Regions from separate parts of the Mus musculus genome. Here region 1 is reported to be linked to region 2. Evidence: microRNA targets listed by miRTarBase, many of them from high-throughput screens and not tested one by one. Region 2 holds a microRNA gene; the other region holds the end of a gene's coding sequence.

Region 1 (4,400 bases), not on the chromosome of region 2:
CCTGTCTACAGAGTGAGTTCCAGGACAGCCAGGGCTATACAGAAAACAAACAAACAAAAAATTAAGATACTAAAGTTTGGCTCTCCTTTGCACAGAACTGAATGACTTCATCATTCAACTTGATGAAGAAGTAGAGGGTATGCAGAGCACCATTCTAGTTCTTCAGCAACAATTGAAGGAGACACGACAGCAGTTGGCACAGTACCAGCAGCAGCAGTCTCAAGCTTCAGCTCCAAGTACCAGCAGGACTACATCTTCTGAACCTGTAGATCAGGCAGAGGTCACAAGCAAAGACTGCAGTCGTCTGGCAAATGGACCAAGTAATGGCAGCTCCTCCCGCCAGAGGACGTCTGGGTCTGGATTTCACAGGGAGGGGAGCACACCTGAGGATGACTTTCCTTCTTCTTCAGGGAATGGTAATAAGGCCTCCAACAGCTCAGAGGAGAGAACTGGCAGAGGAGGTAGTAGTTACATAAACCCACTCAGTGCGGGGTATGAAAGTGTAGACTCTCCCACGGGCAGTGAAAACTCTCTCACACATCACTCAAATGACACAGACTCCAGTCATGACCCTCAAGAGGAGAAAGCAGTGAGTGGGAAAGGTAATCGAACTGTGGGTTCCCGCCATGTTCAGAATGGCTTGGACTCAAATGTAAATGTACAGGGTGCAGTTTTGTAATATTTTTCCAGAAAATTTTTATACAGTGTCATTTAATTGGGGAAAGGATACTGTCAAAAAATTAATGCATACTTTTGTCACAATTTACCTTTTTGTGGGTGTGTTTTTGTTTTGTTTGGTTCCTTTTTTTTTTTTTTTTTTTTTTTTTTTTTTTTTTTTTTAATTGCTTCAATACCTCTGCCACTTTGAAAATTGTAACAGTTAATTACTTTGAACATTGCTAAAAGGACATTTTGTGTAGGGTCAAGTTATTTTTATATGAGTTAATGTGAAGTTGTAAATGGGAATCTATAGCAATGATGTCTGTATAAATCTGTCTTATCTAGAACTTGTGCTGTCAGGGCACTCTTCCTCACGCTGTTGTTACTCATGCACCATTCAGACTTGTTAGAGTAGATGTGGGTTTAGGACTGCCAGGTTTGCCCAGTATAGTAGTTTTTATCACTAAAAAGTTGGACTTGGAGTCCTATAGTAGTTTCAGCGTTAGATAAAGTTTTTCCACCATACATCTTTAGGTGCATTCATCTTTAGGTGACTGAATGTTAAGAAATCTGTGTGCATAGTTACTAAGTTTTTATGAACTGTTGTGTCCTGTTAATGCATATTGCCCTGTGACTCCAGTATATCTCACCTGTACTGACCAAACCTAAATAAACATTTTTATTACGACTCTTGTTTGTTTTTTCCTTTTGTCTTGGGTGTGTTTAGCAATTGTCCTTTCTTTTCACTGAATGGCTGAATTGCTACTTACTCTGTAGTATATACAAAGATCACATTAAAACAGTCTATGCATTAAGTCTGACTATCCACCTAATTTTAATTTGCACTTTTCTTTGCAGAATGAAGTGGGAGTTTGACTACAGCTCAAGGACTTTGGTTTTGGTTTTTTTCCCTCTTGACGTAAAGATCTCATTTTTTAAAAAAACTAACCAAATTTTAGGTTTTTGTTGAAGAGCAGTTTGTTCTTCAGATCTGATTTCAGGGAATAGGTACAAAGATGTTTGCTTTAAAGCATTGGCCAAATAATGCTTTTTCCAGAAACAGCATCCTTGCATGTATTGTAAGGAGGTCTATGGGTCTGGACATGTGAAACAAGTACCCTTAACAGCTGTGCCATCTCTTTGTCACCACTCCCTTTTTGCCCACCTTCTCTCTTCCTCTTCTCCCCACCCATGCATCTGCCGGATTTATTATCATCCTTAGTTTGCCATTGTTCTCAAAATGTGGCAATGATACCTGGGCTAACACTTAGAGGACTATCATTTAAGCTCCCTTGACAACATCCACTCTTACGTTAGCAGGTCACCCAACCATGATTCTGAGCTTAGTCCTTAATGTTTTCCTGCCTCCCTTCGTGCTTCTGAATAAAAGGAAGAAAAGAAACAAACCTGAGCAGGGTTTGAGGTTGCTGTGCCAAATACTTAAGAGATTGGAGCGAGAAATGAACGTGACGGCTGTGCAGTAAAAATGCAAATTAAGGGCTGGAGAGGCTGCTCAGCAGTTAAGAGCACTGACTGCTCTTCCAGAGGTCCTCAGTTCAATTCCCAGCAACCACATAGTAGCTCACAACCATCTGTAATGGGATCCGATGCACTCTTGGTGTGTCTTAAGACAGCTAGAATGTACTCTAAAATGCAAGTTATAAAAGCTTTTAAGTATATAGTTAATGATGGCAGGCTAAGGCAACAAGCTTGATTAAATAGTCTTTGGAAGCAATTTGAGGATGGCACGGCTCTGCTTAGCATAGTCACAGCCCAGGCCATCCAAAAAAAAGAGAAAGCAAGCAAAACAAAAAACAGTTTATGAACAAAAGAAATTGAAAGCAGCATTAAGTCTAGCATTGAAAGGTGGGCTAGTTGTCATATACTCAGTTCAGTGAGTGAACAGTTGGTTGTGATGGTAGCTGTTTTATGTTGTCTAATCAAAACACTGAGAGGGTGAAACAGGATTGAGAAATCAAGGCCAACCTGAAGCTACTATCTCAGAGTGAATGCTACTATTGAGAAGACGAGTGTGAGCATGTGTAAAAAATGCTTCCTATTAAAAATATACTTCAACAGATGAGCTTGTCCTTTCAACTGTGTTTAATATGGCCTTTTGTAAAAGTAAAATTCATGAACAAACAGCATTTTTCTGACAGTTGGACTCCTGTAACTAGTCATGAAACAACCCCAGAATGACTGCAAGACCCCTTAAGGACAAATAGTTTGTAGCACCACTAAATTATTTTTTTCCATTTTTCCCCTCAGTCTAACAGATATAGGAGTTATTTAAGAAACTATTGTAGGGGCTGGAGAGATGGTTCAGCAGTGAGAAAGCACGTTACTGCTTTTGCAGAGAACTCTGGTTCCATTCTTGGCATCCAATAATCTATAACTTTGAATTTTAGGAGACCCAAAGCCCTCTCTGGCCTCCACAGGCCCCTGCACATGTGTGCTGCACACATACACAAGAAATAAACTGGGCATAGGGGGCTGGAGAGATGGTTCAGTGGTTAAGAGCACCGACTGCTCTTCGGAAGGTCCGAAGTTCAAATCCCAGCAACCACATGGTGGCTCACAACCATCCGTAATGAGATCTGATGCCCTCTTCTGGTGCATCTGAAGACAGCTACAGTGTACTTAGATATAATAATAAATAAATCTTTAAAAAAAACTGGGCATAGTGAGACACACCTTTAATCTCAACACTCAGGAAGCAGAGGCAGGGAATCTATAATTTGGAAGTCAGTTTCGTCTACATAGTTCCAGACCAGCCAGAACTAACTACATAATTCCTGTCTCAGAAACCAAGCAGCCAGGCAATGGTGGCGCACACCTTTAATCCCAGCGCTTGGGAGGCTGAGACCAGTGGATTTCTGAGTTTAAGCCAGCCTGGTCTACAGAGCAAATTCTAGGACTGCCAAGGCTACACAAAGAAACTATCTAGAAAAAGCAAAACAGGGCTGGTTAGATGGCTCAGTGAGTAAGAGCACCCAACTGCACTTCTGAAGGTCCAGAGTTCAAATCCCAGCAACCACATGGTGGCTCACAACCATCTGTAACAAGATCTGACGCCCTCTTCTGGAGTGTCTGAAGACAACTACAGTGTGCTTACATATAATAAATAAATCTTTAAAAAAAAAAAAAAAAAAAAAAAAAAAAAGCAAAACAACAAAAGAGTTAACAACAAAAATATTCTAGCCCTCTGGTTCCTGTATAGATTAGAATACTACCAATAGCAGATTCCTTCTTCTGCCATGTTTCCTCTCCCTGTTGCCATGCCTTTCTGCCTCAATGAATATCCTTTTGGAACTGTAAACCAAAATAATAAATGAAAAGAAAAAAATAGAAACTATTCTCTTAACCTTTTCCCCCTTCATTATCTTTGACTTGAATCTAGCACATAGGTCTCTCAGGAGCTAAAATGAAGACTTCTCGGTGTTGCTGTCAGTCATTCCACAGAAGCAGTTGGCACTGCTTACTCTGCGTATAGCCTCCAGGAAGGAGACAAGTGAACACCTTGTCCCTAGAAGAAAGTATTCCTGCTCATTTTTTTTTTTTCACGAGTGTTTACGTGTGGAGGCCTGAGACCAGTGTCTAGAGATCTTCAAGAGCACTTACTGTTCTTCCGGAGAACCAGAGTTTAGTTCCTAGGATTTACAGGGCAGCTGACAACCTATTCTAATTCCAGTCCCAGAAGATGCAACAACCTCTTTTAGCCTACTCGGGCACTGGTCTAT
Region 2 (4,400 bases):
TGGGACTTCATGTACACTGTCCACTTGGATTCTTCCATATTTTAACACAGTCCCATATAAATGCAGTGTATACAGAGGAGAGGATTCACAGACTTGTGCCCACAGAGAGGATTATCTGACCTGATTCATCAGGAACATTAATCCTCAGCACAAGTGCTGTTTTCAATAGTAAGTCCTGTCCAAGGAATCCAAAGGGTGGCACTTCGCCTGCACTTTAAAGGACAGAGCCCCTATATGTCCACACCCCTGTTCCTTTTCCTTCCTTTCACAAATATTCAGGTATGCACTATTTGATACAGCTCTGTTAGTCATAGAGGATGTAGCAGGAAACAAAATGAACAGAGGTGCTACTCTCTTAGGAGACTAATAAACACACTAAGATCCTTGACTATTATAGACTCACCAACTGCTGTTCAAAAGAATGACCTAGGTCTATTGTTCCTTGTTTTCTATTCTGTATGAATGACTCAGTGCAGGGTCTGATAGATGAGATTTCTCAAACTATTCCCCCTCCCATGGCCCTAGATATGCCTAAACACATGGGCCTACGTGGAGAGGAGTCACTCGCTCACAGGAAGAGTGGATATGGAGCCTATTGTGTTGTTCCCTCTCCTCATCCCTTCAGCCCGAAGACCAGTAGACTAAGTGACTTCTTGTCAACTACCATCACTACTCCCATTTGAAGACAGGAGCTTACTGTCTTACTGTGTAGCTCTGTCCCTCAAGCTGATTCTCCTATACCCACCTCCATAGGTCATACTTTTCTACACACATTTGCAAGCTGGCCTGGGCAACATGTGATCCCAAAAGAAAAGTGAATCTCTTTCATGTTAAAAATAGTAGTCTTTATATCATGTATATTTTTTATTCAGATGAGGGAGGTCTAACTAAGTAGCTTAGTCCAGCCTGGAACTTGCTGTCTATTCCAGAGTAGCCCAGATCTCTTGGTTCACCTGCCTCAGGCTCTGGGTGCTGGGATTATAGGTCTGATGTGCCACCGTGTCCAGATGCTTCATGTTCTGAATGGCCATTTACAGTGGTGATTCTCAAGGCAGGATCCCTGAATCAGCAGCATCACCGTCACATGGGAATGCATTCAAAGTGCGGAGTTCCACCCCTGACCTATCAGGTCATAACACAGAGCAGTTTATATTCTCTTTAAGCCTTCCAGTTGATTCTGATGATCACTCAAATCTTATAATCACAGAATCCAGCCAGGTGAGGGGCTAGAGAGGAAAGAGTTCCCTTCTTTCTTATGTATGTTCATGCAGGCTGTCTGGGAGAAGCTCAGCTGGTCTCTCCTGCCTTCTCATTCCCACACTTGATGATGGCATGTGGGCAAATGAATATGCAACAAAGAGAGAGAAACCGTAGCATGATTTCTGTAGGCATGTACCTAATATTATAGACAGACACATAATTGGTGTACAAAACCAAAACCAACTCAAACACTTCCTTGTGTGCATGGATTACACATGAGAGTGGGCCTTGTCATCATGAATCTTCTGCCAGGTGATTTAATTAGCACATGTTGACTGTTCACTATGCTGTGCTATGTGTTGTTGCAGGAGTGTTCTGCTGAAGAGCATAGCTTTCTCCAGAGGAGGGATGTGTGGTGAGATTTGCTTTCCTACTGAGAGAGCAGTCATTCAGGGAGCTAGGAAGTAAGAGCTCTCAGTCTCGTGTGTGTTTCCATGTGGATGCACATGTGACATATGGAAGTAGAGATGTAGTTCTCTGAATACCTAAAAGGCAGGAGAGGAGACATAATCGCAGTCTATGCTTATGTGCATTGAACTTTCTTCTTACACACTAAAAATGCACATCTGTTGTATAGGTGACTAAACCCCAGGTTTTGTTCACCCTTGCCTGTTGTTAAAGACCTGGCATGCATGTTTTTTTTTTCATTTCATTTATTTTATTCCCTTTCAGATAAAATCTTACAATATAGTCTGGCTGGCTACAATTTCATAATTTTCCTGTTTTACTCTCCTGAGTGTTGGTATTTAAAGGCTGTGCCATTTTGCTTTGCATGAATGCTCTTATCAGTGCACTGGGATTATGCAAAAATACAAACCCTGAGCCTTACATACTTATAGGAGAAGCCTATGCACCACTTCTCATTCTTTTTCTTGCTCTTTTAACAGGTTGCTTGCATTTGTATTTTGTTCTGGTCATCCAGATCGATTGAATTCCTAATGTTTGGTAGTGCTGCAGTGAACTAAGCTGTCTGAAATGCTAGCTCTACTGTCTACTGGGCCTATGGAGATTAAGCTTCTTCATGATATAGCTTCCGAGGTTAGAAATGAGCTCAGGGTATTGGAATGTAGGCTTTTTCTTCATTTGTTCATACGTAGAGTATACCTGTGCACACACATGTGGTATGAACGTCAAGATAAAGTCTTCTGCTTGCCTCCCCCTCTCTGTTGTCTTTGTCATCTAGATATGAATGTTATCTCATTGACAACATTCTACTCTTTGAGGGTTAGAGGGGCCTTTTACTTCCTTATAGAAGGGCAATTACCTGTAAATCAGTGCTTTCTCATTTCTCCCCCAACAAGTACAAATTTGCTGACACCATGCTGAGCAGGTGGTAGTCCCCAAGATAGACTAGCTCTCACCCTCAAAAGAGATGCGTAGGGAGTGGCATCTCCATGTTTTCAGTTGATGGTGAGTCACAAAATGGGACTTTTTAATCTACAGAAACACACAAAGTGTAAGACTTCTCATTTCTGCTTTCATATTGGTGTATAGTACAGTGCTTCCCGCCCCCCCCATCTCCCCCCCCCGCCTCCCCCCCTGCACATTGAGTACTCAAGGCCCTGGTCCTTCTCCTCTGCTCCCCCTCTCTAATCCTTGCTATCTGGGTGCTTAGTGCTATCTCAATGCAATGCACCTGGGCAAGGGTTCAGAGAAGGTGAGCTCATCTGCATCAAGAAGGACCAGAGACCCTGTGTGTCAGCCTACCCCTCCCTCCTTCTTTCCCCCTCCCCCTTCCTTCCCTCTATTGAGTAAAATAGTTGTTTGAGTGAGTCATGTATACCAGGGAACCCCCTAACAGATTATTTAAGAGATTTCAGGTACTCTAGTTGGCTTCTTTCTACAGCTAACTTATAAAATACTCAGGTACCTGGAGTGTGTAGGCTTTCTCTGTATTCTGTCCTGTATGGTTATACAGGATGAGGTCAGGAGTTCAAACCTGATATGTTTTTCTACTTCCTCACAGCCTAGAGGTGAGTATTGTTTCAGACATGGTTTCTAGCTAAAGATTCACTGGAAGGACAAAGAACTATTAGATCTGCCTTCTCCCCTCCCCAATGTCTAGTTTCTACTGTATATTGGGCATTCAGTTTAATGTTGAGAGTATGGTAATGGATGGACAATAAGGGCCAGATTACTGCATGTAGTCTCTGGTGAGCACCTTTAGGAACAAACTCCATCTGGATCAACAGTGTACATGGACACAGTAATGACCTCAAATAGTGATATCTATAGAGTACAAGCTCAAATGCCTGTATAACCTGCAAATGTGCAAATTCCCCACACATGTACATATTTTTCTTCCTACAACTATTTTTCTTCACCATGCCCTTGGAGGAATATTTTTTCTTTTTTTTTTCTTTTTTTTCCTTTTCCCAATTTATTTTTTTAAAATTAGGTATTTTCTTCATTTACATTTCCAATGCTATCCCAAAAGTCCCCCCATATCCTCCCCCCACTCCCCTCCCCCCTACTCCCACTTCTTGGCCCTGGCATTCCCCTGTACTGGGGCATATAAAGTTTGCAAGACCGATGGGCCTCTCTTTCCAATGATGGCCGACTAGGCCATCTTCTGATACATATGCAGCTAGAAACACGAGCTCAGGGGTGGGGTGGGGGTACTGGTTAGTTCATATTGTTGTTCCACCTATGGGGTTGCAGACCCCTTTAGCTCCTTGGGTACTTTCTCTAGCTCCTCCATTGGGGGCTCTGTGATCCATCCAATAGCTGACTGCGAGCATCCACTTCTGTGTTTGCTAGGCCCCAGCATAGCCTCACAAGAGACAGCTATATCAGGGTCCTTTCAGCAAAATTTTGCTAGTGTGTGCAATGGTGTCAGCATTTGGAGGCTGATTATGGGATGGATCCCCGGGTATGGCAGTCTCTAGATGGTCCATCCTTTCATCTCAGCTCCAAACTTTGTCTCTGTAACTCCTTCCATGGGTGTTTTGTTCCCAATTCTAAGAAGGGGCAAAGTGTCCACATTTTGGTCTTCGTTCTTCTTGAGTTTCATGTGTTTTGCAGATTGTATCTTGTATCTTGGGTATTCTAAGTTTCTGGGCTAATATCCACTTATCAGTGAGTACATACCATGTGAGTTCTTTTGTGATTAAGTTACCTCACTCAGGATGATGCCCTCT

Evidence for each region. Region 2 holds the annotated microRNA mmu-miR-500-3p (AAUGCACCUGGGCAAGGGUUCA, at 2,890-2,911, shown strand). A microRNA usually pairs through its seed, bases 2 to 8, with sites in the 3' UTR of a target mRNA and lowers its output. Matches are read on the target gene's strand: a 7mer-m8 pairs with bases 2 to 8, a 7mer-A1 pairs with bases 2 to 7 and ends in A, and an 8mer does both.
Region 1: miRTarBase lists Wtap as a target of mmu-miR-500-3p. Seed matches in the 3' UTR shown: 7mer-m8 at 1,194-1,200 and 7mer-A1 at 1,235-1,241.

What each region holds. Positions count from the first base shown.
Region 1 is chr17:12,963,747-12,968,146 of GRCm38, reverse strand. Wtap (Wilms tumour 1-associating protein) reads left to right here. Exons shown (of 8, transcript NM_001113533.1): 8 at 96-1,348. The coding sequence ends at 679. Among named protein-coding and RNA genes, the nearest start is that of Acat2, 5.2 kb to the right of the region's middle.
Region 2 is chrX:7,236,206-7,240,605 of GRCm38, reverse strand. It overlaps Mir500 (microRNA 500), which reads left to right and starts at 2,832; the gene lies at 2,832-2,923. The region is part of intron 2 of Clcn5 (chloride channel, voltage-sensitive 5); the gene reads left to right.